7 linked regions of the Macaca mulatta genome follow. The protein of the gene in region 7 purifies or fractionates together with the protein of the main gene of each other region. This does not show direct contact. Links are inferred from orthologs where the notes say so. Each region holds a gene or a part of one and is shown on either strand. Other genes may lie near its edges. The genes, in order: NEDD4L, DACT1, CSNK1D, VANGL2, PELI2, VANGL1 and DVL2.

Evidence for each region.
Region 1: the proteins of DVL2 (region 7) and NEDD4L purify together in Homo sapiens (affinity purification with mass spectrometry; 4 studies listed by BioGRID and IntAct, with this or other methods). This does not show direct contact. The link is inferred for Macaca mulatta from reciprocal best matches to the Homo sapiens genes DVL2 and NEDD4L.
Region 2: the proteins of DVL2 (region 7) and DACT1 purify together in Homo sapiens (affinity purification with western blotting; 3 studies listed by BioGRID and IntAct, with this or other methods). This does not show direct contact. The link is inferred for Macaca mulatta from reciprocal best matches to the Homo sapiens genes DVL2 and DACT1.
Region 3: the proteins of DVL2 (region 7) and CSNK1D purify together in Homo sapiens (affinity purification with mass spectrometry; 3 studies listed by BioGRID and IntAct, with this or other methods). This does not show direct contact. The link is inferred for Macaca mulatta from reciprocal best matches to the Homo sapiens genes DVL2 and CSNK1D.
Region 4: the proteins of DVL2 (region 7) and VANGL2 purify together in Homo sapiens (affinity purification with mass spectrometry; 4 studies listed by BioGRID and IntAct, with this or other methods). This does not show direct contact. The link is inferred for Macaca mulatta from reciprocal best matches to the Homo sapiens genes DVL2 and VANGL2.
Region 5: the proteins of DVL2 (region 7) and PELI2 purify together in Homo sapiens (affinity purification with western blotting; 3 studies listed by BioGRID, with this or other methods). This does not show direct contact. The link is inferred for Macaca mulatta from reciprocal best matches to the Homo sapiens genes DVL2 and PELI2.
Region 6: the proteins of DVL2 (region 7) and VANGL1 purify together in Homo sapiens (affinity purification with mass spectrometry; 4 studies listed by BioGRID and IntAct, with this or other methods). This does not show direct contact. The link is inferred for Macaca mulatta from reciprocal best matches to the Homo sapiens genes DVL2 and VANGL1.

What each region holds. Positions count from the first base shown.
Region 1 is NC_133423.1:22,628,515-22,632,014, reverse strand, and holds part of NEDD4L (E3 ubiquitin-protein ligase NEDD4-like), read left to right. Parts: intron 1-1,184; coding exon 1,185-1,414; intron 1,415-2,929; coding exon 2,930-3,051; intron 3,052-3,500. UniProt on the Homo sapiens protein: E3 ubiquitin-protein ligase that mediates the polyubiquitination of lysine and cysteine residues on target proteins and is thereby implicated in the regulation of various signaling pathways including autophagy, innate immunity or DNA repair.
Region 2 is NC_133412.1:131,747,012-131,751,006, forward strand, and holds the start of DACT1 (dapper homolog 1), read left to right. Parts: upstream 1-1,195; 5' UTR 1,196-1,581; coding exon 1,582-1,926; intron 1,927-3,995.
Region 3 is NC_133421.1:91,982,589-91,986,633, forward strand, and holds the start of CSNK1D (casein kinase I), read right to left. Parts: upstream 2,801-4,045; 5' UTR 2,476-2,800; coding exon 2,400-2,475; exon of another isoform or gene 2,374-2,399; intron 1-2,373. UniProt on the Homo sapiens protein: Essential serine/threonine-protein kinase that regulates diverse cellular growth and survival processes including Wnt signaling, DNA repair and circadian rhythms. It can phosphorylate a large number of proteins.
Region 4 is NC_133406.1:106,462,174-106,464,499, reverse strand, and holds part of VANGL2 (vang-like protein 2), read left to right. Parts: intron 1-588; coding exon 589-849; 3' UTR 850-2,326. UniProt on the Homo sapiens protein: Involved in the control of early morphogenesis and patterning of both axial midline structures and the development of neural plate. Plays a role in the regulation of planar cell polarity, particularly in the orientation of stereociliary bundles in the cochlea.
Region 5 is NC_133412.1:129,257,249-129,261,367, forward strand, and holds the start of PELI2 (E3 ubiquitin-protein ligase pellino homolog 2), read left to right. Parts: upstream 1-1,319; 5' UTR 1,320-1,560; coding exon 1,561-1,637; intron 1,638-1,969; exon of another isoform or gene 1,970-2,224; intron 2,225-4,119. UniProt on the Homo sapiens protein: E3 ubiquitin ligase catalyzing the covalent attachment of ubiquitin moieties onto substrate proteins. Involved in the TLR and IL-1 signaling pathways via interaction with the complex containing IRAK kinases and TRAF6.
Region 6 is NC_133406.1:124,612,644-124,616,143, forward strand, and holds part of VANGL1 (vang-like protein 1), read right to left. Parts: intron 2,831-3,500; coding exon 2,698-2,830; intron 1-2,697.
Region 7 is NC_133421.1:8,718,185-8,722,139, forward strand, and holds the start of DVL2 (segment polarity protein dishevelled homolog DVL-2), read right to left. Parts: upstream 2,801-3,955; 5' UTR 2,516-2,800; coding exon 2,322-2,515; intron 1-2,321. Other genes in the region: PHF23 (PHD finger protein 23), read right to left, coding at 3,876-3,955.

The sequences.
Region 1 (3,500 bases), on a different chromosome or scaffold from region 7:
GCAAATGTAATTTTCTGCTTATAATTATCCCTGGCAGTTTCAAACCTAGAAACTCTAAAAATTTTTATGGGCAGTGTTTTAAATTATAACATTAGATTTTCTAATGACGCACCACCCCCAAATTGTTCAACATTGCATCTTCTGTTTTACTTTCCAATTCCTCCTTAGCAGTTTTCTCTTTGGTTTTCTCCATCACTATGGTTACATCTCTAGGGAGGGGAGAGAATCAGCTGCAGCTCAGACCCCCTCCGGTGGCCTGGGCTCTGTTGCCATTTCTCCCTGCCTCCTCCCCTCAGCCGGTTCCTCCTGCCCAGGACGTCTCTGGATGGGGCACAATCTCTGATCTCATTTAGGAGTTTTGGTCTCTGTTCCAAAGTCCTGATTCAAGAGCTCATGGATAACTACTATTGAAATGATTATTTGCCTTCAAAACTCAGATGAATACTAAAAATTCCACAATTTTCTTTGTGAGTCACGTCCCCTGGTAATGATAATGACTTTGTGGTCATCACCCAGGCTCTCTGACTCTCACATAGCAGTGTCTGCTACCCGGAAACCATCTCTGCAGTTTCATTCTTACAGCCAGACCAAGCCTGGATTGCCTCTTTGCAGGAGGCAGCTGCCGCAGCCTTGGTCAAGTGTTTTGTTGTTTTCACGTCAGCGAACCATGCTTTGGGCTGCTTTCCCCACACTTGGCATAATCAGGGTCCCGCTCCCCATGGCTGCAAAATGGACTTGAGGCACCGTGGATTATATCTACCACCTCGCGGCCCTGCCAGAGTTGAGCATGGCCCCAGCCTGGCCAGGTGGGGATTATTACAGGTTTTGATTACCTGGGCTAAAGTCTCTTGAGAGAAGCAACAGGTACAGTTGACTGCCTTTCAGTTGCCATATGCCGGAGGAGTGCCCACAGTTGTTTATTAAAGGGGGTGAGGAGGCTGTTCTCCTTCGCAGCAGAGTTTCTGACTTTCCTGAGCATCGCTAGCGGATGCCGTGTGTCCATCGTGACACAGCGAGGCTTTCTGTCTGCAAGGGAAAACCCCTGAAGGAGAGGCTCCCAATTGGAACCATTTGTCACTGCCCGTTTCTTTGAGGACTGCCAACTTTCCTACCCTTGGTTGTTGTTTTTATTAGAAAACAAAACGTGTATTTACTGTGTGTGTTTTCTTTTGTCTTTTGTGTAGGCTGATATCCCCAATAGGTTTGAAATGAAACTTCACAGAAATAACATATTTGAAGAGTCCTATCGGAGAATTATGTCCGTGAAAAGACCAGATGTCCTAAAAGCTAGACTGTGGATTGAGTTTGAATCAGAGAAAGGTCTTGACTACGGGGGTGTGGCCAGAGAATGGTTCTTCTTACTGTCCAAAGAGATGTTCAACCCCTACTACGGCCTCTTTGAGTACTCTGCCACGTAAGTATATGGCCACACCCAGAGTGTGTCCCCCACTGAGACAGTTGTATGAATTTAAACAGAATGAAAGAATAAGCAGCTCACCAGTTCAAGATGCAGTAAGTCTGTTGAGTTTATTCTCTCCTCACCCCACAGCCCCTTGCAAGTCTAGAACAGGTTCTGACTCTACCTGGTGAAAGAGTGTACTCTGTGAACATCTAACATTGATTTTTTTTTTCTTATCTAATGGGTTCATGGAGTTGAAATTGAAAACATGGATAATTGTGGTAAGGAATAGGAGGCGATTTTCATTTGCAGTGTTCAAAAGGAGGACTTGTCAGTGTTAGAATTCGAAAACAAAAAGGTGTTTTTTGAACAAGAGTTGTTTCCGAGGTCTCTGGGTAAAGGCAAATTGTAAGGACTTTGAGGACCTAGGACCATGCCCTGCTCCTGTAAGGAAAGAATCAGGTTTCCCCTTGCATTAGGATTTCATCATTGCCAGGCTTGGAAACTGAGGCAGACTAAATTGCTTTCTGAGCAACCAAAGATCGGCTACTTCCAGGCCAGCCATTCCTTCTTCTGAATCCTCCAAGGGTTAGGCTGGACCCAAGCCCTCAGTAGAATAGTCATTGACCTTGCTGAAGGGTATTTATCATCACTTTAACCCTGGGCCCTAAGGGGACGTGGGTTCTCCCACATCTCCCACGTGGTACCAATCTCCTGGGGGCTCATTTGGAAGGCAACCTCAGTGCATTCTTCTCAGTTGCTCTAGCCAAGAATTGCCCAATTGGTCTGTTGTTGTTATTACTGAGTCCCATGAGAAAGCCCACTATGGACAATTTATCCAACTACTGAAGGTGGAGGGCAGGGTGGGGAGAGACAAGATCTTTACCTCTCCTCCACATTTTCAAAGATACCCCCCTGGAGGAAACTGTCTGTGACCCCAGTTTGAAAACCACTGATCCACATAATTGTGAACCAAGCAAGGTCATTTGGACAAATCTAAACACTTGCAGGTTTGCATCATTGAGAGAGCCATATCCTGTTCCTAATCCCCTTGAGGCCTTTTCAGAGCAGAGTAGTGGTCAGAAGACAGACCAAGGGTTGGGCCCATAGCAGACATCTTATGGCCAAGCCAAAAGCCTCTGGAAGGAATTAACCTTCCTTTATCACAGACACGACCTAAAGTACCCACATCAGTGGGAATGCCTGCACAGCCCCTTTATTATGTGGAGTTTCTTATCTCCCCAAGATACTTGGCTGAACCATATGAAATAGACACTTTGTGGATCAGAAACAGTCAAACATCAGCAGTTTCTTATGGTTTAATTGACTTTAGAGTACACATGCATCAGCTTCCATGGTGGGTCATGGTTGAGCAGGTGGTAAGTCAGGTCCTCTAGCCCACACCTTTTCCCACTAGGTACAGAATGCTTGCAAGGACACTGTAGAAATTGAGTGACAGGTGGCAAAGAAATATGCAAAATCTTGCATTTGAAAGTGTGATTGGTCTTTTCTTCTCTTTCTCCTCAAAAGGGACAACTACACTCTTCAGATCAACCCTAATTCAGGCCTCTGTAATGAAGATCATTTGTCCTACTTCACTTTTATTGGAAGAGTTGCTGGTCTGGCCGTATTTCATGGAAAGCTCTTAGATGGTAAGTCTTGAAGTAATAAAAATAGGTCAGTGCCGCTTGTGGTTTGCTGGTAGGTGTCTTATCTTTTGCATCATGAGTTTTTAAGCAAAAGCTTCACTGGTTTACTCATAAAGTATTTTTATGTTTCTCCCATAATGGATGTGCTTTTCTCTGGTAGCTTATTTTGGGCACTGAAGACATAATGTCTACACACAGTTAAAAACAAAAGTTTTTTTTTTTAACTTCATTGTAAAGCACAGAACATTATGTATTTATACATTTGTATGTTTTCTGGAATAACTTTACTGAAAGCAAGATTTGATAACAGATGGAAAAACTAATTGAAAAGTTAGTTAAAATGATCTCATCCATCTAATATTGTGTGATTATTGCATTTGTCCCCAAATTATTTTTTTAATTTGAAGGGACTAAATAATTTCAAAATAATGTTACCACTCAGCTAAGACATT
Region 2 (3,995 bases), on a different chromosome or scaffold from region 7:
GACCACACAGAGAGGGGAGGAAAGAAGAGGAATTCCTAGCAAGGGTTAGCAGATGAGCAAAAGTGCAAGTGTTTAAAAAAATGGTATAGGATGCACTCCTTCACACAACACTTTGCCTGAACTTCAGCAAATGTGACTTGCTGGATTTAATTTCCGAGGTTCTTGGATGCTTTTGAAGATATATGTGGTGCTTTTCCTCAGAGAAGCCAGCTAGTGGCATTTCCAGACCCCTATCCCACCGGAAATTTCAGTGGGATAGGGATCTGGAGTAGTGTGTTCCAAGCAGAGATGACCAACACATGATACATCAAGAGGGAAGACTTACAAATCCCTCTGGAGAAAAGCTACAACTCATATCACCCTTATTATCTATGTGCTAGCCACGTTGTAAGGGCACAGCCCGCACAATATATATCATATGCTGCATATTATTACAATTCTTCAACAGCAGGTTCCCATAGCAGCTGCCCCCTTTTACAGTGGCGGGAGCGTACACACAGAAGGGAATAAGTTGCCCGCACAGCTATTTAGGGGTGAAACTGGGATACAAATCCAGACAGTCTGATTTCTGAGTCAGAGCTCTTACTGTAAACGCAGACTAAGTAATAATAAAAGCTCAAACAAAAAACCAAAGCGCGCACGCGCGCGCACTCAAATCGTAAGCTTGTAAAAGAATCGATGCAACCTCTCGCTATACAGCGACATCCTCCTGCCTAATTTTAAATGCCGTCCATCGTTAAGACTGACGTTAAAAAATTAAAACGACAACAAAACTTAACAGTTTTAGAACAACATTGCATTATGCTCTGCCTTTACAAAGTGGAGTTAAGGAACCAACCCCACAGTGTCTGTGAATACACTCGCAATACCTTGCCTGGGAAGTGAAAGAAACCTAACTCGGTGTGAGTGGAAAAGAAGAGTGGCCATGTGGGGAAAGGGTTAAGACTGTGCTGCAACTTGGTCGAGTTTCAGAAAGTTCTCCGGAGAGCCCAACTGCCGCGTCCCGTCGCGGCCCCTGCCTGCGCGGCCGACTGTAACAGGATGCTGGGGCTCCAGGCGCTCGCCCCGAGCTTTGGGCGACGGGAAAGAGCCAATGAGGAGCGAGGGCAAAATCGGGTGCAGTAAACCCGAAAAGGGGGCGAGGAGGCCCGCGAAGAGAGCGGGGGAGGAGGCGGGGAGGGGCGAGCGAGGAGGAGGCGGCTTTGAGGGCCGGGCGGCGCGCCTGACAGAAGAGGGGAAGCCTGGGGGCGCGAGCGTCGCAGCCGGGGGGCCGCGCGGGGAGGCGGGAGCCAGGCGGGGGTTTGCAGGGCCGCCGCGCGTGACGTAGCGCCGGGCAGGGCGTTATCAGCTGCCGGGCCGCGGCGAGGGACGCGCGGCGACAGCGGACGGCGCCGCCCGGGCCGGGACGGCAGCAGCCGGCTGCCGCGCGCAGGACCCGAGGGCTTCTGGCCGCCGCCCCCGCCAGCGCCGCGCCCCGCCGCGGGGCGGCATGAGCCCACCCGCGACCGCAGCCCTAGCGCACTACTTCTCCGCCTGGGCGGCCCGGCTGCGGTGACGGCGCTCGTTGCCGGATTGGGGGCCATGAAGCCGAGTCCGGCCGGGACGGCGAAGGAGCTGGAGCCTCCGGCGCCGGCCCGAGGCGAGCAGCGCACGGCGGAGCCCGAGGGGCGCTGGCGGGAGAAGGGCGAGGCGGACACCGAGCGGCAGCGCACCCGGGAGCGGCAGGAGGCCACGCTGGCCGGGCTGGCGGAGTTGGAGTACCTTCGCCAGCGCCAGGAGCTGCTGGTCCGGGGCGCCCTGCGCGGCGTTGGGAGTGCGGGGGCCGCTGCGCCCCGCGCCGGGGAGCTACTGGGGGAGGCGGCGCAGCGCAGCCGCCTGGAAGAGAAGTTCTTGGAGGAGAACATCTTGCTACTACGAAAGCAATTGGTAGGTCATGCCCAGAGGTGGAGCAAGGCTGTCCCTGCCCCGGGGCTGGAGGTCGGGCAGGTGACCTGGGGCGGGCGCGAGGTTAACTCTGGCTGGGGAAATGCTCGCTGTTATGGGACGCCCCCGGGACGCCCCCGCCCGCCCCATACCTCCCTGATCTCGTTTCTGAGTGCCTGCGGCGCGTGGGCTGCCGACGCCCACGCGTTTCAGGCGTGTGCCCGCTTTGTGTCTGGCGACCTCGCGCGGATTGCGGGAAGGGGGTGGCCGCTCTTCCCTCCTCCTCTGCCTTCGGGATTCTTGGAGTCGCCTAGTTCTGACCTTCGGTCTCCTTAGTTAGATGAGTATATGCCCCCTCCCCAGAGGTTTGCAAACTCCCACTTAAAATACCATTTTATTTGGAGGTTTTCTTGGCTTCATCTCCTCCCGCCGAGAGGGGCCAAAAGCCAAGGAGGGGGTTTGTGGCGTGCTTAACTGTCCAAGGCCGAGTTTTACGATTACACTGGAGCGCCTGTAGGGAGCCGTGCCTCTCCGAGAGCTCTCCCCAGCATGCCAGCTTTCACCCAGGCTGGTGCTTAATTTCAAATAGAAGCCCTTTGTATAAGGCAGCTCAAACTAGATGGAAATGATGGAAATTTGGCTGGAGACTGTGTCCCCTCCTCTCATATTTTATACGTTCTGCCAGCTGTGATTGGTGGTGGAGGTGGGAGAAAAGAGAACCTGCTCTCGGGGAGCATTTATCTTACTGGATTTGTCTCAGTCATTCTATGCAGTCTTCATTAGTGGGGAAGAAAAAGAACTTTGTAGCTTAATGTATTGATGAACAGCTTTTGACCCCGCCTCAGAATAATGGCGGCAGCTTTGTTTTCATTGACCTTAAAATGTAGTTTTGGAAACAGCAAACGCCCTCACCTGACCAAGTGATACTATCCAAACTAGACACATGCCGGGTAGTGGCCCTCCCACAATAAAGTGGTGATGCTGTGCGGTTGTCATATGTTTTCGTCTATTATCTCTTTTCAGATCATTTCTTTTCTCTCTCTGTGTGTGTTTTTTTTAAGCGCCCAAATGCTTTTACTTGATAGGTTCATTTTTCCTGAAGAAATTAGTTGTAGCAAACAAACATATGGTTTATGTCTCCAAGCTTTTTAAGTCAAAAGACAAGAGGCATAGATATTCATATGCATGTGTGTTGTAAGGATGTACACTGTGGTTTGTGTAATATCTCTGTTTTGGTATTTTACTATGCTGCTTTGGTCACAGACCTGATTCCTGTGTAACACTGATTTGAGCCAGTTCTCACTGGTTATGGCTGGTGACTTTTACATTTTATTGTCTTGTGCAATTGCATCTTTTTGTCTGCACGAATCTCAGGATTGTAATTGTGCATTCCTATTGTCCGCTTGAGGGGAGCAAAGCCGTATGTCAAGAGAATTCCAGTCCAGTCAGTGTTTATGGTACTATTTTCATTTGTAGACTTGGCATTCATGATTTGAACCAGATGCTTTTTGAGTTCTCCCGTTTTTCCAGCAATAGGAAGCACTAGGTGGCAGTGTGAGTTAGCACAATCCATCTGTCACCTTTGGAAACCCAGAGGCGTTCAAATCTCGATGGGCCTTCCCATGAGGGTTTTGGATTCTGCCAGCTCACATTATACTTGGCACTGGCTATTAGTATTAGTTTCTCACTTTCAAAGGCCCTAAGACTGATTAAACCCCACACAGCAACTAATAGAAAACAAAACTCTGCAGGCCAAGACATTTGGCCAGAAAATCTCACCTAAGATTATAACGTATTATAGGAAATCTGTTACTCTCACTTCAAATTAAAGAGTCTACTGTGAAGTATTGTTTTTTAAAAGACTGGTTATACACCAGATGATTTAAAGTCTCAGTCCGTTTTTCTTGTCCCTACCTATAAAAAGTCAGTTTGCATATATTAGTTGAAACTAAAGCCTTGTTTTTATGAAGAAACTTTATATCACCACAAAATGTGAGAAAGTGGAATTAAACATAGGACATATTCTTGAATTCTCGAAGTCTTTCTTTACTTCAGGTCATCCAGTAAAATTT
Region 3 (4,045 bases), about 83 Mb from region 7:
GGAGGGTAGAACGCTGAGTGAGGAGACAGCCTTCCACCCTCCACCTCTGGAATCACTTGGTGACAACCACACCAAAATTTGTCTGACTCTATCTTTGGAAAGCACAAAAGTTGTTTGACAAGGTCTCAGAGAAGAGAACAAATAGTTTCAAAGTACTTCTTTCTTTTTTTTTTTTTAGACAGAGTCTCACTCTATCACCCAGGCTGGAGTGCAGTGGTATGATCTTGGCTCACTGTAACCTCCGCCTCCCAGGTTCAAGTGATTCTCGTGCCTCAGCCTCCCAAGTAGCTGGAATTACAGGCAGCCACCACCACGCCTGGCCAATTTTTGTATTTTTAGTAGAGACAGAGTTTCGCCACTTTGGCCAGGCTGGTCTCGAACTCCTGACCTCAAGTGATCCGCTCACCTTGGCCTCCCAAAGTGCTGGGATTACAGGCGTGAGCCACCACGCCTGGCCCAAAATACTTCTCTTTGATGCCTGCCTAAAGGTGGTTAATGGACTGGCTTTGCAGTGTAACTCAGATCCTGGGATTAAAACTTTCGCCAAAATCTACTGTTCTATAAATAAGCCAAACGACTTCCATTTACCAAGCACCCTGACTTCCAAAACACTGCCAAGAACACATCCAGCTGACCACCTGGTATAAATGTTTAAACAGTCAAACCCAAATGTCTAAGGCCTGCTTACTCAGCAGGCCACTAAGGCATATGTACAGGTTCAAAAGCAACAACATGGCATATGACGGGGTTACCCGGCAGATTAACCAGGCACCCGAAGTATGAGCCACCCATATGTATGGATTCAGCCTAACGCTGTCAGCCCACCGGGTCCTGAGTTCTCTCTCTGGTGAAAAATGGGAAGGGAGTGAGAACTGGGTACTGTCCACATGTGGGTTCATCTAAAAGGTATGACCAGAGGCATTACTGACATCCCATGGGATTCCTGACCCTGGCTGACAAATGCCCCAAAAGCTAGGGCTGCTGGAACAGAAAACAGCTCCCCTCAAAGGTCTGCAGCAGCCCCTCTGCAGGCACACCGCCTCAGGCTACATATCCTCAAATGCAAGGGGTCTTGGAATAACTCGCGCACTGCACAATCCCACTGACAAGTGCAGAAAATTGTTACTTTAAAATTACAAACTTCCGCCAGGCGCAGTGGCTTCCCAGCACTTTGGGAGGCCGAAGTGGGCGGATCACTTGAGATCGGGCGGGCGTTGGAGACCAGCCTGACCAACATGAAGAAACCCCGTCTCTACTAAATATACAAAATTAGCCCGGCGTGGTAGCGCATGCCTGTAATCTCAGCTACTAGGGAGGCTGAGGCAGGAGAATCGCTTGAACCTGGGAGGCCGAGATCGCGCCATTGCCCTCCAACCTGGGCAACAAGAGCGAAACTCCGTTTCAAAAAAGGAAAAAAAAAAAAAAATTACAAACTTGAAGATTTAAGCCAACCTTTCATTACACTTGTGTTCATGTGCATATTTTTCCATTGTAAATATGACACACCCCAGAACGTTCTAATCCCATGTTTTTTGAAATCTACCGTGAGACTGTTATAGTCTAAAGGACAGCTCATGAGTACAACTACTTCATCTGCCTCTCACTTCGCCAGCATCTTAACCCTGGGTGACTTTCTCTACCGTCACCTAAACTTAACCCTTGCTCATCTGCACTCAGTCACCGCTCCAAGGCCAAGGGGCACAGGCGAGAGAGAACCCCCAGCGGTCAGTCATCAGGGCGGCTGCGAGGCGGAGGGCAAGCTCCGCTCCTAGCCGGGCCACTCCCCCACTCCCACAAGGCATTTGGGTCTTTCTGACATTTTCCCCCACGCGTGCAAGACGCAGGGGCAGCCTCTGTGGGGGGAACCAGACAGCCCCGGACCGGGCTGCGGAAGAAAGACCGTGGCCTTTGTTTACTGCGGTGACCTTAGGCGTGGAGGAAGCCGACGCCCGCTCCGCCGCCCCGGCCTTGCCCCCTCCCCGCCCGCGGCCCGCTGCCCCCACCCCCGCCCTGCCCCTCCCCCAGGCGCCCCTCCCCCAGGCCCGCCTCCCCACGCCCCACCCAGCCCTTCCCGGGTCCGCTCCCCACGACCCTGCCCCTACCCGGGTCAGCGCCCCCGAGCCCATGCCCCACCCCGGGTCAGCTCCCCTGTCCCCTCCTCCCTCCAGACCCTGCTCCCCCGACCTGGCCCTGCCCCTCCCCCACGTCCGCTCCCCACTGCCCTCCCCACCCCTGGCCGCGCTCGCCTAGTGGCCGTTGGGTTCTGGCCACGACCCGGCGGCGCCCCGACTTGCACGCAGACCCCGCGGGGGCCGCCACTTCCTTCCGCGGTCGCGATTGGTCTTGGCAGCCTCTGGGCCCGGGTCCTCGAACGGCGGGCGGGGGCGGCGGGGCCTCACCGAGATAGATGTCTCCGAAGGAGCCGCTGCCGATCTTCCGGCCCAGCCGGTACCTGTTCCCGACTCTCAGCTCCATGGCGGCGGCGGCGGCGGCCCGGTTCGCTCCTGCCCTCCCGGCCGCTTCCTGGGTCTGAACTCCGGGAGGCGGCGCCGCTGCTGCCGCTACTGCGGGTCCGGCTGCCGGCTCCGCCCCCCTCACGGCCCCGCTTTCACCATCGCTTTCCTGTCACCCCGCCGCTCCCAGCGCCTCAATACGGGGCGGATGGGACAGTCCGAGCGCCGCCGCCGCTGCTCCGGCCCCTGCCGACCCCGCTTGCCCTCTCCCCGCCGCGGATGGACTCGGATCTTCCGGGCCTAAATCCCCCTTCAGCTGCCTAAAGGAGCCGCCGCCATCGCGCTGTGACGTCACTTCCCCTAGCAACCCGGTGGGGCGGGGCCGCGGCGCTCCGGGGGCGGGGCCTGGCCCTCGGGGGCGGGGCCGGGCGGGGCGAGCGCTCCAGGCCTCCTCCCAACTCTGCGCAGGGCCAAGCCCTTCTGCCCCGCACCGTCCCGTTACCCCTGGACCTCGGGCCGCCAGCCCCTTCCACCTGCAGTCTCCCGCTGCTCTCGCGGGGGCTTTTCGTGTGTCCCCCGAGATGTCGAGGAAGCCAGATGAGTTCCTCGCGACAGGCGGTGCCTTTTGCAGGAGGGGACAGGTAGCTGAGGCCTGGACAGAATGACAGGCCAGGCTCAGGGGACACAGGGGAGACCCCCTCACTGGGCTACCAGTTCCCGGGCTTGGGGCATCCCAGGACGTCAGCGTCTGCAGCCTTACCTCCTGACACCTAAGGCCAGAGACAGGGCGGGCCCACGCCTTCGGAGGTCCTGATGTCCAGCTTGGAGGTCAAGGGCAAAGCCACCACCTTTCACAATACGAGGCCAGACCACCTGCCTCCCGCCAGTCCCTGCGGCCTGGAGACCGAGTCAACATTCTTATCTGTGTTGGTTCTGAATGTTCCTCCTTGCAAAAGAAAACAAGGAGTGGACGTTCAGGCTGATGGCCAGCTTCAAAGATTGGGGCCTTTGATTCCCATCGCTGGGAAGAAAGCCCTTCAGACAAGCCCCCTGGGCTGCGGTGCATGGGGACCTTGAAGAACCCGTACCCATGGTCCCACGTCCATGTATGTTGAGACCTGTCACATCCTCGCTGAAACTCAAGAACGTGAAACAGGTGAATGTGTGTTTTGAGGCAGTAGCATACCAGGGCTCTGGTGTGGGCACCACAGCGTGAGTGAGACAACAGCCTCAGCCCGTCCAGGTCACTGCAGAAGAGGAAAGCAGCCCCCGCAGGCCCCGCAGTGGTGCCCGCCTTTCTCCACCCCCAAGTCCTTCCTCTCCACCCCTCAGCTCCAAACAGCTGGAGGTCGGGTGGGGGAGGCAGGTATCCATTCCTGAAGTTACACAGCAGGGCCTGGAGACAGGAGATGCCACTGGCCAGACCACCGTCAGTCACTAATGAGGCACAGGCAGTCGGAACTGCCCAGTTTCTGAGTTACAGGAGCCTGGGGTGGGGGCTGCCAGACTAGTAGAACTGACCTTATTGGCAGGATCGCTCATGGCTTTTCTGTTGATGAACAGAGCCCAGTTCTCCCGCGGTGACTGTGATC
Region 4 (2,326 bases), on a different chromosome or scaffold from region 7:
TATGAGGGCTCTGGAATTACCAGATCCAAAGGCCCACCTTTACCCCCATTACCCTCTTCGCCTCCACTAGCTGGTCTTGGCTTTGTGTCATTTTGAGCCATTGCCCACCCTTAACTCTATTGCCAGCTTCCAAGAATTGCTTTCCCTGAGCCACCCTTGGTGAGCAGGTAACTAAAGATGTTGCACTTTAACCTTGACACCTCTGGCTCCCTCCTGGTGCAAAAAAACAAAACCTGCTTGGCATTAATCATATAAGCTGTGTGGGAAGGAAGGAAGAATGAGGGAGGGCTTACCCAGGTCACAGCCTGGTGCAGGGAGAAGAGCAGCAGATGGGGGTCAGGGGAGCCGAGTTCAGTCCTACCTGATGAGCCACATCCCCTTGTGCACTCCAGCTTCCTCATTTATAAAATGAGGGTCTGAAGCAGATGATCTCAGGCCCCTTCCTGCTGTAACATTCTGAAGTTCTAGTTCATATGCATAGAGTGAGCTCAGGGACGTCCTTGTTGTCTTTGGAAACTATGCCCCAGGGGATGAAGGATAGTGCGTAGGCGACAGAGATTTTTATTCAGCCCCTTCTTTTCTCTTCAGGCCTTCTTGGAGCGATACTTGGCGGCTGGACCTACCATCCAGTACCACAAGGAACGCTGGCTGGCCAAACAGTGGACACTGGTGAGCGAGGAGCCAGTGACCAACGGGCTTAAGGATGGCATCGTTTTCCTCTTAAAACGCCAGGACTTCAGCCTGGTGGTCAGCACTAAGAAGGTCCCATTCTTCAAACTCTCCGAGGAATTTGTGGATCCCAAGTCGCACAAGTTTGTCATGAGGCTGCAGTCTGAGACCTCAGTGTGACTGTGCAACAGCAGGGGGGAGTGGGAGACTCTGGAGGGCTCCTGAGGGAGTAGGAAGGGGCTTGGTTCTCAGGCCCAGCCACATTCCTGCCACCCTTCTTCTTCTTGCTCTTGTTTTTTTTTTTTTTTTTTTTTTTTGTTTTTGTTTTTTTTTACTTGAATTAACTTACCCCCACCTTCTCTCGCCTCTTCCTTATTTTACCCCATGTGAACTTGGACCATCCTGCTGTCAACAGTACCTGGGAAGGACCCCTCCCCCCTGCCCCCAACAACTTTTGTATTACTCTAGGCGCTGCAGGAATCAGTGCCTCTCTCCCTCTTCTTTCCCTACCTAGTCTTTTCCCAGATTGCAGTCTCTCCTGAAAGGGCACAGGACCCTGCTAATTGTACCTTCCCCTCCTGAGCCTCGACTCACAAACCCAAGTTCTTGTAGCATTTCTCTTCAGTGGCCCCAGCAGGGTTTCTCTGGGGCACACGGTCATGACTCCAGAGAGCCACAGTGCCAAATTCCTCCAGGGCAGCAACTAGCCCTCCTGTCCCTCACACCAGCCACAACAAACCCTGGGTTCTGGGGCAGGGATACTCCTGCCACACAGTCTGAGTTAGGAATCTCCTTGCCAGGAGCATTTGCTTCCACATATATTTAGAGCAAAGAAGGATCCCATCCTTTTCCCAGAAATCTCCACCTCATGTGTTTGGTTTGTATGGTCACGTGACCATAGGCAAACAAGTGGAAACTGTCTGTGACCACTTTTCCAGGGACTTGGGGGAAGGTACCTTTCTTCCAATGTGTCTTTCCTAGGCAGTCCCTGAGGAGGAGGGCTGAATAGATCCCTGAGGGTTTGGAGAGACCCCCATCATTGACTCCTGCTCCCTGACCCTACCCTCACTTTCCTCCCTGCTCTTCCCAGTGAAGGATGGTAAGTCCTGTACAGACTTAGTGGCTTGCAGACCCTGACCCGGCCCCGGTGGTCTTAGACAAATGTTTTTATTTTTGTCATCAGCCACCCCTGTCCTGCTGTCTTCTCTCAACTCCAGAGACCTGTTGCCTCATCTCTTTTGGGGAAGAGCTGGCAGCTCCTCCTCATCCCCTGCCTTAAGTCCAGTTCTTTGCCTCAGGGGTCTGGTTTCCTTGGCCTTCCAGGGTCCCTACCCCTTTTCTCCCTGCCTGATTCTCTGAGCTCTGGGCTCCCTCTGTACTGGGTTGAGGGACAAGGATCACTGCCTTTTGTAGGTACTTCACCCCTCACCCCGTTTTAGCTTCCATAGTCTTTGCACCAAATCCAAATTCTTGATCATTTAGATCTCATTTTGAGCAAAATTTGCTGGTCCTCTAGTAAATCTTTTCAATATAAATCTGAGCCTTTGACTCAGACATTTTTGCCAAGGAAAATAGAATTAGGAAGTACCCATATACATCTAGCCAGGATCCACATGGAGGACCTTTCCAATGGCTGCAATGACTAGGCCATTCCTCT
Region 5 (4,119 bases), on a different chromosome or scaffold from region 7:
GGAATAATTTATTTCTAAAGCCTCAATTAAAAAAAAATCAGTTCCTAACTGAAGTAAAATTACCAGAAACATCATGTCACTACCGTAATAACCTGTCAGAGAAGGTTACACAAGGGGTGCAGCACAGCGGAATGGAAGGTTACAGATGCAATTATTATTTTCTCTAGCCCTTTGCTTCGGGTCATAGCCAACCAGTCACTATACACAGGGCAGCTTTTGCAGCATTTATTTCTTTAAATATTTAACAGTGTTGAGAGGCAGTGACTGGCAATAATATGTAGAGTTTCTAGCACATTATGAGTGCTTAATAAATGTTAGAACAATAAAATCCTGTATGATGAAAAACAGCAATCAGTAAAACTATTACAGTCTACAATATTTTAAAGCTGTAGCAATGACTAGTTTAAAAAGAATAGAAAGCAAACAGTGCACTGATTAAATCATGGTCATAAAGGAACATTTACATTCACTAAAAAATCCACCCAGGTAATTTCTCCTTATATGTATTAGGGGATGGAAAGAAGGCACGGGAAAAGTGGATAAAGTATGGATTAAAAAACAACTCTTCCCCCAACCCTCTGTCACCCCCCAAAAGCCAGTTGGAGTTCTGTTGACGACACGCCGGGGTAGCTACATCCAGTACAACGGTGGGGGTGCTCCAAGCGCCTTCGAAACGTCCTCTACTCCAGCACCAACTGGCAAAACCTTCTAATTGTCTAGACGCCTTTCTGCTTGGTTTTGGAAGGGGAGGCACCCAAGTGGGTGTGTGAGACACCTCCAGATGTAAGCCGGGACACAGTGACACCGAGAGAGCGCTCTTCTACTTGGAGAGGAAGTTAATCCCATCGAACTCCAGTCAGGAAAACGTAGGCTTGGCATCCGCGGCCGCTCGCTTCCAGGATCTCCCGCGGGCCTTCGCGGCTAAAGAACCAGGCGGCGAGGGCTGAGAACCCCGCGCTCTAAGTTTGGGGAAGGAAGTGAGGAAAAAAAATAGAGCTGCTCCTTTAAGAACTTCCTTTCCCTTTTACTCTATGTTTACATAACACAGGGGCTGAGCCTCCGCCGGGCCGAGGGGGGCGGGCGGCCCCACGCGCAGGGGGAGGGGGCGCCCCGCGGGCCGGGGGCGGGCGGCTCGCTCCACGTGGGGCGGGGCGGCTCCCACCTGCCCGCGCGCCGGCCCCCACCTCCCCCGCGCGGCCCCCGCCTCTCTTGCGCCCGCTCCCTCCTCCCTCTCTCCCTCCCGCTCCCTCCTCCCTCTCTCCCTCCCGCGGGGCTTCGGCGGCGGCGCTCAGCGCAGGCAGGTCCCCCTACTGCCCGGTCCCATTTGTTGCCGGCTCTGACTCGGGGCGGCCGCGGCGCGCGGAGCTCCGGGGAGTCAGGCGGAACAGCCGCGCAGCCACGACGGAGCAGCAGCGGGACTGGCCGCCCCGCGCCCCCTTCGCCGCCGTGCCCTTCCCCGGCGCGCTCACCCCGTTCTCGGGATGGGATTGTAGCGGCGGCGCGGACTCAGCGGGGATCGCGGCGGAGGCGGCGGCGGCGTCGGCTGCCGAGCGGGGCTCCATGTTTTCCCCTGGCCAGGAGGAGCACTGCGCCCCCAATAAGGAGCCAGTGAAATACGGGGAGCTGGTGGTGCTCGGGTGAGTCCTGGGGTCCCTGGTCCCGGGCAGCGGCGCGGGCGGGGAGCGTCCGCATCCTCGAGTGGGGCAGGCGGGGTGGCTCGGCGCTCTCTGGGGACTGCCGGGGCGCTCGGGGCGGCAGGAGAGGCTCGCAGGGCCGGGACGCCCCCCATGGGCGCGCGCTCCAGGCGCTGCGGCGGGCGCCGGGCTGCGCTGTCCCCGCGGAGGAGGCGGCGGAGGAAGTGGCGGCCGGGACTCGGGCGACCCCGCGGGGGCAGCGCCGGGCACCGGGTCCGTGGCCGTATCGTGAGGGCGGGGGCAGGGGCTCCACTTCCCGCGCGCCGCGTCCGCCCGGGGAGGGCGGGCAGGAACTCGGGGTGAGGCGCCGCCGTCGCGGGCACTTCGCGGGGTCGCTTCCCGAAGCTGAGAGCCCGGCCGGCCCGGAGTCCCGTCTTCCCACCTCCCGGACGGACCGTGGTTCCCGCGCCCCCGAACTCCGAGCGCGGCGCCGTGAGCTCGGGCCGCCGCGGGCTGTGGGATCCCCGGCTGCGCTTTGGAAATTGTTCCGATGACCGCCGCGGGCCGCCGCAGCCCGAGGGCAGTGAACGGTGTGTGACCCGGGCCGGCCGGTCCTCCGCTTCTCCTTGGAATGCCCTGGTGGGGAGGGGCAGGATGCGGCTGCTCGGGGCCTGGCACTGGGGCGCGGGCCGCATCCCCCTGGTCCCCGCCTCGCCAGTGTCCTCCCGGCGGCGGGGAGCTCGCCAGCCTCGCCCGCCTCGGCTCCCTCTCTGCTGGTGAAAGCCGCATTTTGTAGATAGTAATTATGTACAATCGTTAAACGGCAGCAATTAGAGACTTCATCTACTTCCTGAGTTTCCTTGTGACATTTCTATTGTTTACCCTTAATAAGCCGGGAGAGAGGCTTCGCGGGATTATAGCTGGATATAGTGGGCAGTGAAAGGGGAGGGGGAGGGGGGAAGTGCAGGAAACTGGGGAGAAGGAACAACTTGGGTTTAGTGTTGAAGAAAGGATTATTTTTTCCTTTGGCCAAATGTGTCGCTCCTGGGAACCCGCGCTTTTGTCCTTCTGCGTTGAAAGACCTGTATTCAGAACATCCTTGGCGCTGATAGGTAGGCTTAGCACACATATGAGGAGTCATGGCTGTGGGAAGACTCAGGGAACTTTGCAAAACGTGTTTTGATACTTGAGTACCTTGAAGTAAGTGCTGACTTAAAAATAATTTAAGAGGAGTTTTTTAAGGGAAGCTTCCAGACACCGCACAACTCAAAGCTTCCCAGTCTTCCTGACTTTGTTGCTAGTGCATTAAGTGGGGGTAGTATTGGAAATCTCATTACCTATTTTGAAGCTGTTTGCAGGTAAGTGTTTTTCTCACCTGCATCTTAATTGCACTTCAAAGACAAATATCAGGGTTCACAGGAAGGCGGGAGGAATGACAGGAGAAAAACCACAGTATAGTCTGTCTTATGTAACTTCAGCCCAACCTAATTTTGTGGAGTTTGGTTTTGTGTGGCTGGCTTCAAAGTATGTTTAACACTGGGAATTTGACGTGGAAGATTAACGTATGCCAGGACATTATTTTCATTATTTCCTTTTGAGGAAATAATTGTTGAGATGTTTCAGAAAAGCAGCGAGTGGGCCTGGAGAGGTTTTGTGTTCATAGCTGGCAGTGCAGGGCATTCCGAAGCCACGGAAAGGATTGAAACCCTGGATTGTCCTAGTATCATACATGGTCTTACTGCACAGGAGCCTGTGGATATAACGTTGCAGTTGCATACGCTCTGCCCTTTGCTAATGCTTTTCCAGGAGACCAAGGTATGACATAGTTGGCCCTTAGTGGGCGAGACACTCAATCGTCATTTGTGTACCTACTCTGTGCTTGTGCTGTTTAGGCATTGCTGATGTAGTGAGAACAGGGAACTTTCATTTTAGTGTGGAGTGACAGGCATAAACAGAAAGAAACATTCAAATAGGTGAGTAATAAGTGACCATTTCAGGTGTAACCAAGTTCTAAAGAGGAGCTGATAAACTTGGAGAGTGACTGCTTAGGTGGGTATTGCTTTCTTCGACTGGAAGATCAGGGAAGTTCTCTCTCAGGAGGTGAAATGTGAATAGAGGATGCTAGTCTGGTTTTTGAATACTTGAATTGTGGTATTTTTCTTTTTTTGAGAGTAGGTTTCTGACTGTTTACCAGTGTTGAACACATTGAAGAGTGCAGGTGAAAGAGTGACTAGGTAGGTAGATTTTTAAAGAGAACCTTATTGATATTCCACCCTTAGGGTTTCAGACAGTGTACTTCATCTTAAAACAACAATAACATTCACACAGAATTACTATCTTTATGATATTATCTTTATGTCCTCTGGGACATAAATATTGGAAAACAAAATTTCAAGTAGATTTTCTGAATAATGAGATGATTCCTGAGATCTAAAAATGGCTAATATTTGATATTGATAGAAGCTTTGCTTGTCAAATTCAGTGC
Region 6 (3,500 bases), on a different chromosome or scaffold from region 7:
AAAAAAACAACTGGCAATAATAATGGAGCAACAAGAGAGCAAGGTGCTGAAAAGACACAGGGGGCCAAAGAGGTTTTGCCTCAGAAATTCGTACGTATCCTCTCACTCAGAAAAAAAAAACGTCAGACGCAGTGGCAAAGTGGTGAAATTAGGACACCAACTTAGAAAAAGCTAGTTGAAGTTAGTAGCTAAATCAGCAAGACAGAGATCGCTCATAACCAAATAACCCCGAATCTAGTCATGACCAAAAAACATGATTTATGAAATGTATGGGCTATGGTAAGAAGTGGTGGTTAAGGTCTCAATCCTATGAACTAATAATCCTTCAACTTGGAAAGTTCGAAGTATCACATACACTGAGAGAAATTCCTATTTAAGACGATGGCCAGAAGCAGCCAGGACTGTCGAACATTACTGGTGGAAGTGGACCATGGCACAGTGCCTCTGGAAAACCACTCTGGCGGTTTCACAGAAATTTAAAAATACACTTAAGTACATGGCTCAGCAATTCCACTCTCAGGTTTTATCCAAAAATTAATAAAAATGTACATCCAGCCAGGTGCGGTGGCTCACGCCTGTAATCCTAGCACTTTGGGAGGCCAAGGCAGGCAAATCACCTGAGGTCAGGAGTTCGAGACCAGCCTGGCCAACATGGTGAAAGCCCGTCTCTACTAAAAATACAACAATTAGCTGGGCTTGGGGGCGCGTGTCTGTAATCCTGGCTATTTGGGAGGCTGAGGCAGGAGAATCGCTTGAACCCGGGAGGTGGAGGCTGCAGTGAGCTGAGATCATGCCACTGCACTCCAGCCTGGGCAACAGAGAAAGACTCTGTCTCAAAAAACAAACCAACCAACCAACAAACAAAAACCCAAATGTCCATTCACTAGGAGAATGGACAACAAATTGTGGTAGACTGACGCAATGGAATACTACTCAGCAAAAGTAAAAAGAATAAGCTGTTGAAACATACCAAAATATGGATAAATCTCAAAATCATTACGCTGAGTGGGGCGGGTTGGGGGACAGGGGTGGACCATATGATTCTAATTATATTAAATTCAAAAACAGGCAAAATTAAACTATAGTGATAGAAATCAACACAGCGGTTGCCTTGGAGAGGTGAGGGTGGGGCAGAGGTTGACTAGGAAGGGCACAAGAGAGTTTCCTGGGGTGCACATGCATGTCTAAAAAATGCAGATGTACAAAGGATCCTGTTAAGCTTGAGGTTCTTAGAAGAAAAAGCACCTAAGATGCTTTCATCAAAACCCCCTAGATATTCAATAAAGAAACTGAGGCCTACAAAGGCTGTGACTGCTCAAGGTAACGGAGCTACTAAAAAATACAGCCTCCAAACACCCATCTCAATGCTTTTCACACCAGATCATCCTTGGGCAACACCAATAGCTTCCCAAAGTAGTTCTCAGATATGAGGTGCAGAGGAGATGCAGAGAAAAAAGAGCCTTTGTTGTAGGCCACCGGCACCTCTGAACCCACATCCGGGAGGAAACTGACCCCCTCATGCACTCCAGGGTGATCCAGTCCTAGGATTGGCCCCACCCAACCATCAGCCATCCCAGAGCCAAGACAGGCAGCACTAAATGCATTTGCTCATTGCTCAGTGAACCCCACGTTCAACCCACAACTGGAGCTTTGAGTCCCAAGAACACCTTGTGTACTCTGAGGAATTCCAGTTCCAGTGCACCTATCTGATTATAAATGCTTACCTGTGTGTATGCACAGGTATGTACAGATGTATGCTTATCTATAGTCCTATATCTGTCTTTACAGCTGTGTATCATACATTGCTTTGTTTATGAGGGGCAAGGCTGGACATGTGTATATATATTTCAGGATGTGCAGAGGGTGTGCAAACATGTTTCTGTGTATAGCTCAGATATTTATTTAAATCAGGTGGGCTGCCAGACAGTTGGAACCTGGAGAAGAACCCACTCAATGGTTTAAAAAATTAATAAAGTGTCAGTATTTCAAAAATACTATAAAGTTAGGATTTCACATAAAATCCGGATTTGCAGCTTTTCTCAAACACTGAATCCCTGAATTCCTGAGCAACAGTAGGTGTCTGGAGCTGCGGGGCTACTGTTTCCTTTACAGAGGCAATGCATTCTCCAGTTAGCCACAGGCTCCTTCACACCACACTACAGCACTCACACTGATGCACTGCACAGACTGCTGTTAACCCAAAGCTTGTTTGATATATTTTTGCCCCCTCTTTTTGATCCAGGGCCTCCTTAATTAACTTACGTTTCTCTACCAGGCATCTGAGTGTGCGGCCTCTGATTTACTGCATAGCTCTAGTAGTAATGGTCAGTCTGGGCTGTCCCACGTTTTTCAAACTTCTTCTTAGGGTTTCTGAGTTTCCTTCTCCCTCTTACACTGTTCCATTGTGAAATGAGCAGTGACAGACTTCAGCTTTTCCCTTCCCTACCCTGTCATCAACCTTGCTGATTTCTTTTCCACACCATGCAAAGCAGGCCAACCAATCATACTTCAGAAGAATCCCCAAGCTACCAAAGGGCAGGACAGGCTGTCCTCAGACCAAAAAGAGACCACGGGACATAGATAAATTAGCATGCTAGAAAAATAAAGACAAAAACCCAAGAGAACCTAAGGAAAACATTTACAGAAAGGAGTCTTAGTCAAGTGGCAGTGTGCTTAGAGACTACCTTTGATCCTTACCTGAACTTCCTCTGTCCGAGCAGAATCATTTCCCAACAGGGGCTCTCCAGTGGGAGGTTGAATGGTGACAGACTTTTCTGACCCTCTGCCATCTTTATTCCGGGGTGACTTATGTCTCTCTCTAGTTCTCTCCCTGAAAAACAACAACGAGCTAGCACATTTATGCCATGTTAATTAACTCTCTGGGTTTATCAAAATGTAAGTATCATTTTGAATTTAGGAAAGTTCTACACACGCACGCACACACACACACACACACACACACACACAGAGCATCAAAACCCACCCATCTTCACCACACTTCAAAGGGTGCATTGATCTTTACTCCCTACTTAATATTTTCTTTCTGCCATCCCAAGACCCAAAACACTCTTCTTGCGTTGCCATAAAGAAATACCTGACACCTTCATAAAGAAATGAGTTTAACTGGCTCACGGTCCTGCAGACTTTACAGGAAGCATGGTACTGACATCTGCTTGGCTTCTAGAGAGGCCTCAGGAAGCTTACAGTCATGGCAGAAGGCGAAGTGGGAGCAGGCACATCACATGGTGAAAGCGGGAGCAAGAGAGAGAGAGTTGGGAGAGGAGGCACGACACACTTGTAAACAACCACCTGTCACTCTTCCATCAACAGTGACATTTTTTCAAAGCCTAAAATTTAATGTTAGGATTTATGTAGCTAGTTACACTTTATTGTAATAATTACTGATTTGATTTGGTTAAAATTTGCCTTAACCAATTTTCTAGGGCTTTTAAAATTGGGACAACATTGTAGAATATCTAAGCTTTGGTATGTCCAAAAAA
Region 7 (3,955 bases):
AGGAGGCGGAGGTTGCAGTGAGCCGAGATTGCGCCACTGCACTCCAGCCTGGGCAACAGAGTGAGATTCCACCTCAAACAAACAAAAAACAACAAAAAACAAAACCACCCACCATTAGATCAAACAAACAATGGAAGCTCCTCATTAGACTGAAAGCTCCCAAGGAGAGAGCAAGCTGGCGCTCCCATTCCCCTGTGCCTCATCTGGCACAAAATTCGGCACGAAGCAATCTGCTCAGCCTGACAGATCCCAAAGCCCAGCCTTGGGGTCATCTCTCCAATGGGTTCCCTGTGGTGGACTGGACTTGCCCCTTCTTCTTGACCACGACATCAAACCATGAACACTTACTCTGATCAACACCATGTCCTGGCCACACACCACACACTGACACTTAGGCATTAACAAATACTGTCAACTAAATGAATAAACATATAAAGCATCAGACTCTCTGCCCTGGTTGTTTCTCTCTCTCTTTCCACACACACCCTTGCCGCCAAATTAGGACACCTTGTCTAATTAACCCGTTAGCCTAATATGGTCATAAGAGCCAGGATATATATCAACTTAATCCATTTGCTGTCAATGTGACAACACAGCCCAGTCACTACCAATCTGTGTCAGCATCATGTAGGATTCTTCCCAACATAACACAATCTCAGCATAGCTCAGTCCACTCTTAAGACAAATTACTGTGTATCACCATAACCTTTATAGAGTAGTCAGCCTCAATACTAATGACAATTACCATTCACCATGAATTTACCATGTACCACACACCTGAACTAACCATTTCATTCTGTGATTTTCTCCATGTCACAGACGAGATCAAGACACAAAATTTAAATTAATTGTCCAAGATTGCACTGCTGACAACTAGAAGAACCTTGACTTAAAGCCAAGATAACTCCCAAGATAGTATCACCCTTCCCATGTCAAACAATCTTTCTAGCTAGAGTCCAGTTTGTTCAGTTCTTCTAAAACCCATGCTATCTCAACTTAATCCAGCCTGCCTTCAAAAAAGCAGAGGTTGGGCTGGGCGCAGTGGCTCACGCCTGTAATCCCATCACTTTGGGAGGCCGAGGCGGTCCGATCATGAGGTCAGTAGATCGAGACCATCCTGGCTAACACGGTGAAACTCCGTCTCTACTAAAAAAATACAAAAAATTAGCCAGGTGTGGTGGTGGGTGCCTGTAGTCCCAGCTAGTGGGGAGGCTGAGGCAGGAGAATGGCGTGAACCCGGGAGGCGGAGCTTGCAGTGAACCGAGAATCAGCCACTGCACTCCAGCCTGGGCGACAGAGCAGACTCTGTCTTTAAAAAAAAAAAAAAAAAAAAAAGCAGAGGTTGAGGACCCAGAGAGGGCTCAGCCCCAAAGACCATAAACACAAAAGGGCTTTCTCTGCATTATTTACATGCCAATCTAGTCCAAGATAGCCCTGAATGTCCAAATTACCCTAGGATAGCCCAATCTATTCTAGCACAGCCTACAATGTCCCCACACGCAGCTAGCTGTCTGCACCAATATAGACTAGAATACCCCAATACAGCTACCTGTACTAGCATGGGCACCAACAGCCTTGTCTGCCCCCATACTGAGTGCTCCAATAAAACCATGTCTTGCCCCAAGATAAACCAGGATTAACCAATACAGCCCAGTAGAGTCCATAATGGCCCAAGTTTGTTTTGTTTTGTTTTTTGGTGTTTTTTTTTTTTTGGAGATGGAGTCTTGCACTGTCGTCCAGGCTGGAGTGCAGTGGCGCGATCTCGGCTCACTGCAACCTCCGCCTCCCAGGTTCAAGCGATTCTCCCTGCTTCAGCCTCCCAAGTAGCTGGGACTACAGGCGCCCGCCACCACGCCCGGCTAATTTTTTTGTATTTTTAGTTAGTACAGATGGGGTTTCACCGTGTTAGCCAGGATAGTCTCGATTTCCTGACTTCGTGATCCGCCCGCCTCGGCCTCCCAAAGTGCTGAGATTACAGGCGTTACAGGACTCCTGAGAACGTACTAAACGACCAGACGATAAATGAATTTACTCAGTACAGTCTAAAACACTCCAAAATAAACCAGTATGCCCCCACCTATTCCAGTAGAGCCTAATCGTCTCTAATCTGGTTTAGGATATCCTAGTCTGCCCGTGTGCCTCAATCTATCCAAGCATAACCTTGTCCATCCTGGGAGAGTCAACCTACCTCAGCATGGTACAATCTGCTCCACCACAGGCCAGAAAATCCTAGTGTGGCCCGAAGTAGATGTGTGCCCCTCCACGTCGCCCAATCCACTCTAGCAAAGCCCCCGTCGGTCCTATCTAGGCCTTGCGCTCACCCGAAATCCTGATCCATAGACTTGAAAAAGTACTTGGCGCCCGCGGGCCGCTGCAGGACGCTCTTGAAATCGCCGAGGGTGATGCGCTCGGCGGGGACAGGGATCTTCACCAGGTATGGAGTCTCTTCCTCATCCAGGTGGTAAATCACCTTCGTCTCCCCAACCCCACCGCCCCCAGCGCTGCTGCCCGCCATGGTCTCGCCCGCGCGCTCCCGGGCTCCACCGCCCACCCAAGGGGCTAATGGCCCCTGCCGCGCCTGCGCACACCCGCAAACCGACGAGCGAGCGCGGACAGGACGGACCCAGTACTGGAGAGAAGCAAAGGGAAAAAAGCAGGGGTCGGCAAGGGTGGCGGCGGGGGGCGGGCCGCGAGGTGCGACTCAAAGCCGCGGTCTCAGCGGCCGCCGCGCGCCACCGCCACCGACAACGCGAGCGTCCTCCAGGTCCCCGCCCACCTCTCCTCATGTCACGTGACCTAAGCCCGCCCACCCCGCGCTCTTCAGCCGCCCCCGTCACGTGACCCCTCCCAGTCACGTGACCGCGTGACTCCTCCTAGTGCCCCCGCCACGTGATCGCTGCCTTCGGCAACGGTCTCCCAGCCCCCAAAGGTGTACCCCAGCCGAGGTCCTCCGAGCACCCAGGATAAGCTGGCCTGTGCCCTCAGGAAGCGGACAGTCGGCTCCCACCCGGCTTTACCCCACACCGGCGGGAGCGCGAAGCAACTCTGACCCTCAGGAGTGTGCGTGCAGGGAGTGAAGGTGGGGATTGTGGGGGTTCCTAGACTCGAGTGGGGAGGGCCAAATACAATGAAAGCTCTGAGGTGGCTTACTCAAGTATCTTGGGGTGGGAGAGGCCCAGTGCTGTGCCATCTTCAGACTGGACTGTGAGAGGTGGCTTTCAGCACCACGTCCAGCTAGTCTTCAGCCACCAAAGCCTCCCTCCCAAGCAGGACAGTGAGGGCTATAAACACAAAAGAGCCCACTCTGCTTTATTCACAACACGCAGGCTGTCTGTACAAACAGCGGCCAATATTATTAAAAAGAGGTGAGTGAGAATCGTCACCTTTCTGCTTTCCTTCCTTGCTTGGCCAGGCTCTAGTACTCCACCTTTGAGCTGCCATGCCCAGTAGGGGAAGTCCAAAATTAAAAATACAACCGGTGTAGAAGAAAATAAATGGGGAGTGAAATAGAAGAAAAGATGAGGGAGGGGAGTGCTAATATTTACACTAGAGTTTTATAGACAACTGTCCCATTCCATCCCAATTCCAATCCTGACCCAGAAAGTGATGGTGGCAGGTCCAAGAGACAGAGATTATGTGTCTAGAGACACAGACAGCCTCCCACCCGCAACCGTAATGGGTTCAATTTCAAGTTCAGAGTGGGGAGGACGGATAGGGTAGGAAAGTGAGACACTCATTTTCAAACAAGTCTCCCTTGGGAATTCCTGCCTTGAAGTGCGGACAGTATCCAAGCTCCAGGGGGTAGGCTGAGGACCCTGAGGCTCAGTTCCCAAATCATGTTATCATTTGGAAGTTCCAGGCTAAAGTTGGTGCCGTCAGGGCTCTCCAGATTTGGGAGGCCCCCCTAACCGCCGGGCCTCTGGCCTCAGTTCCTTGCATTTCTGGCAATAAAAGA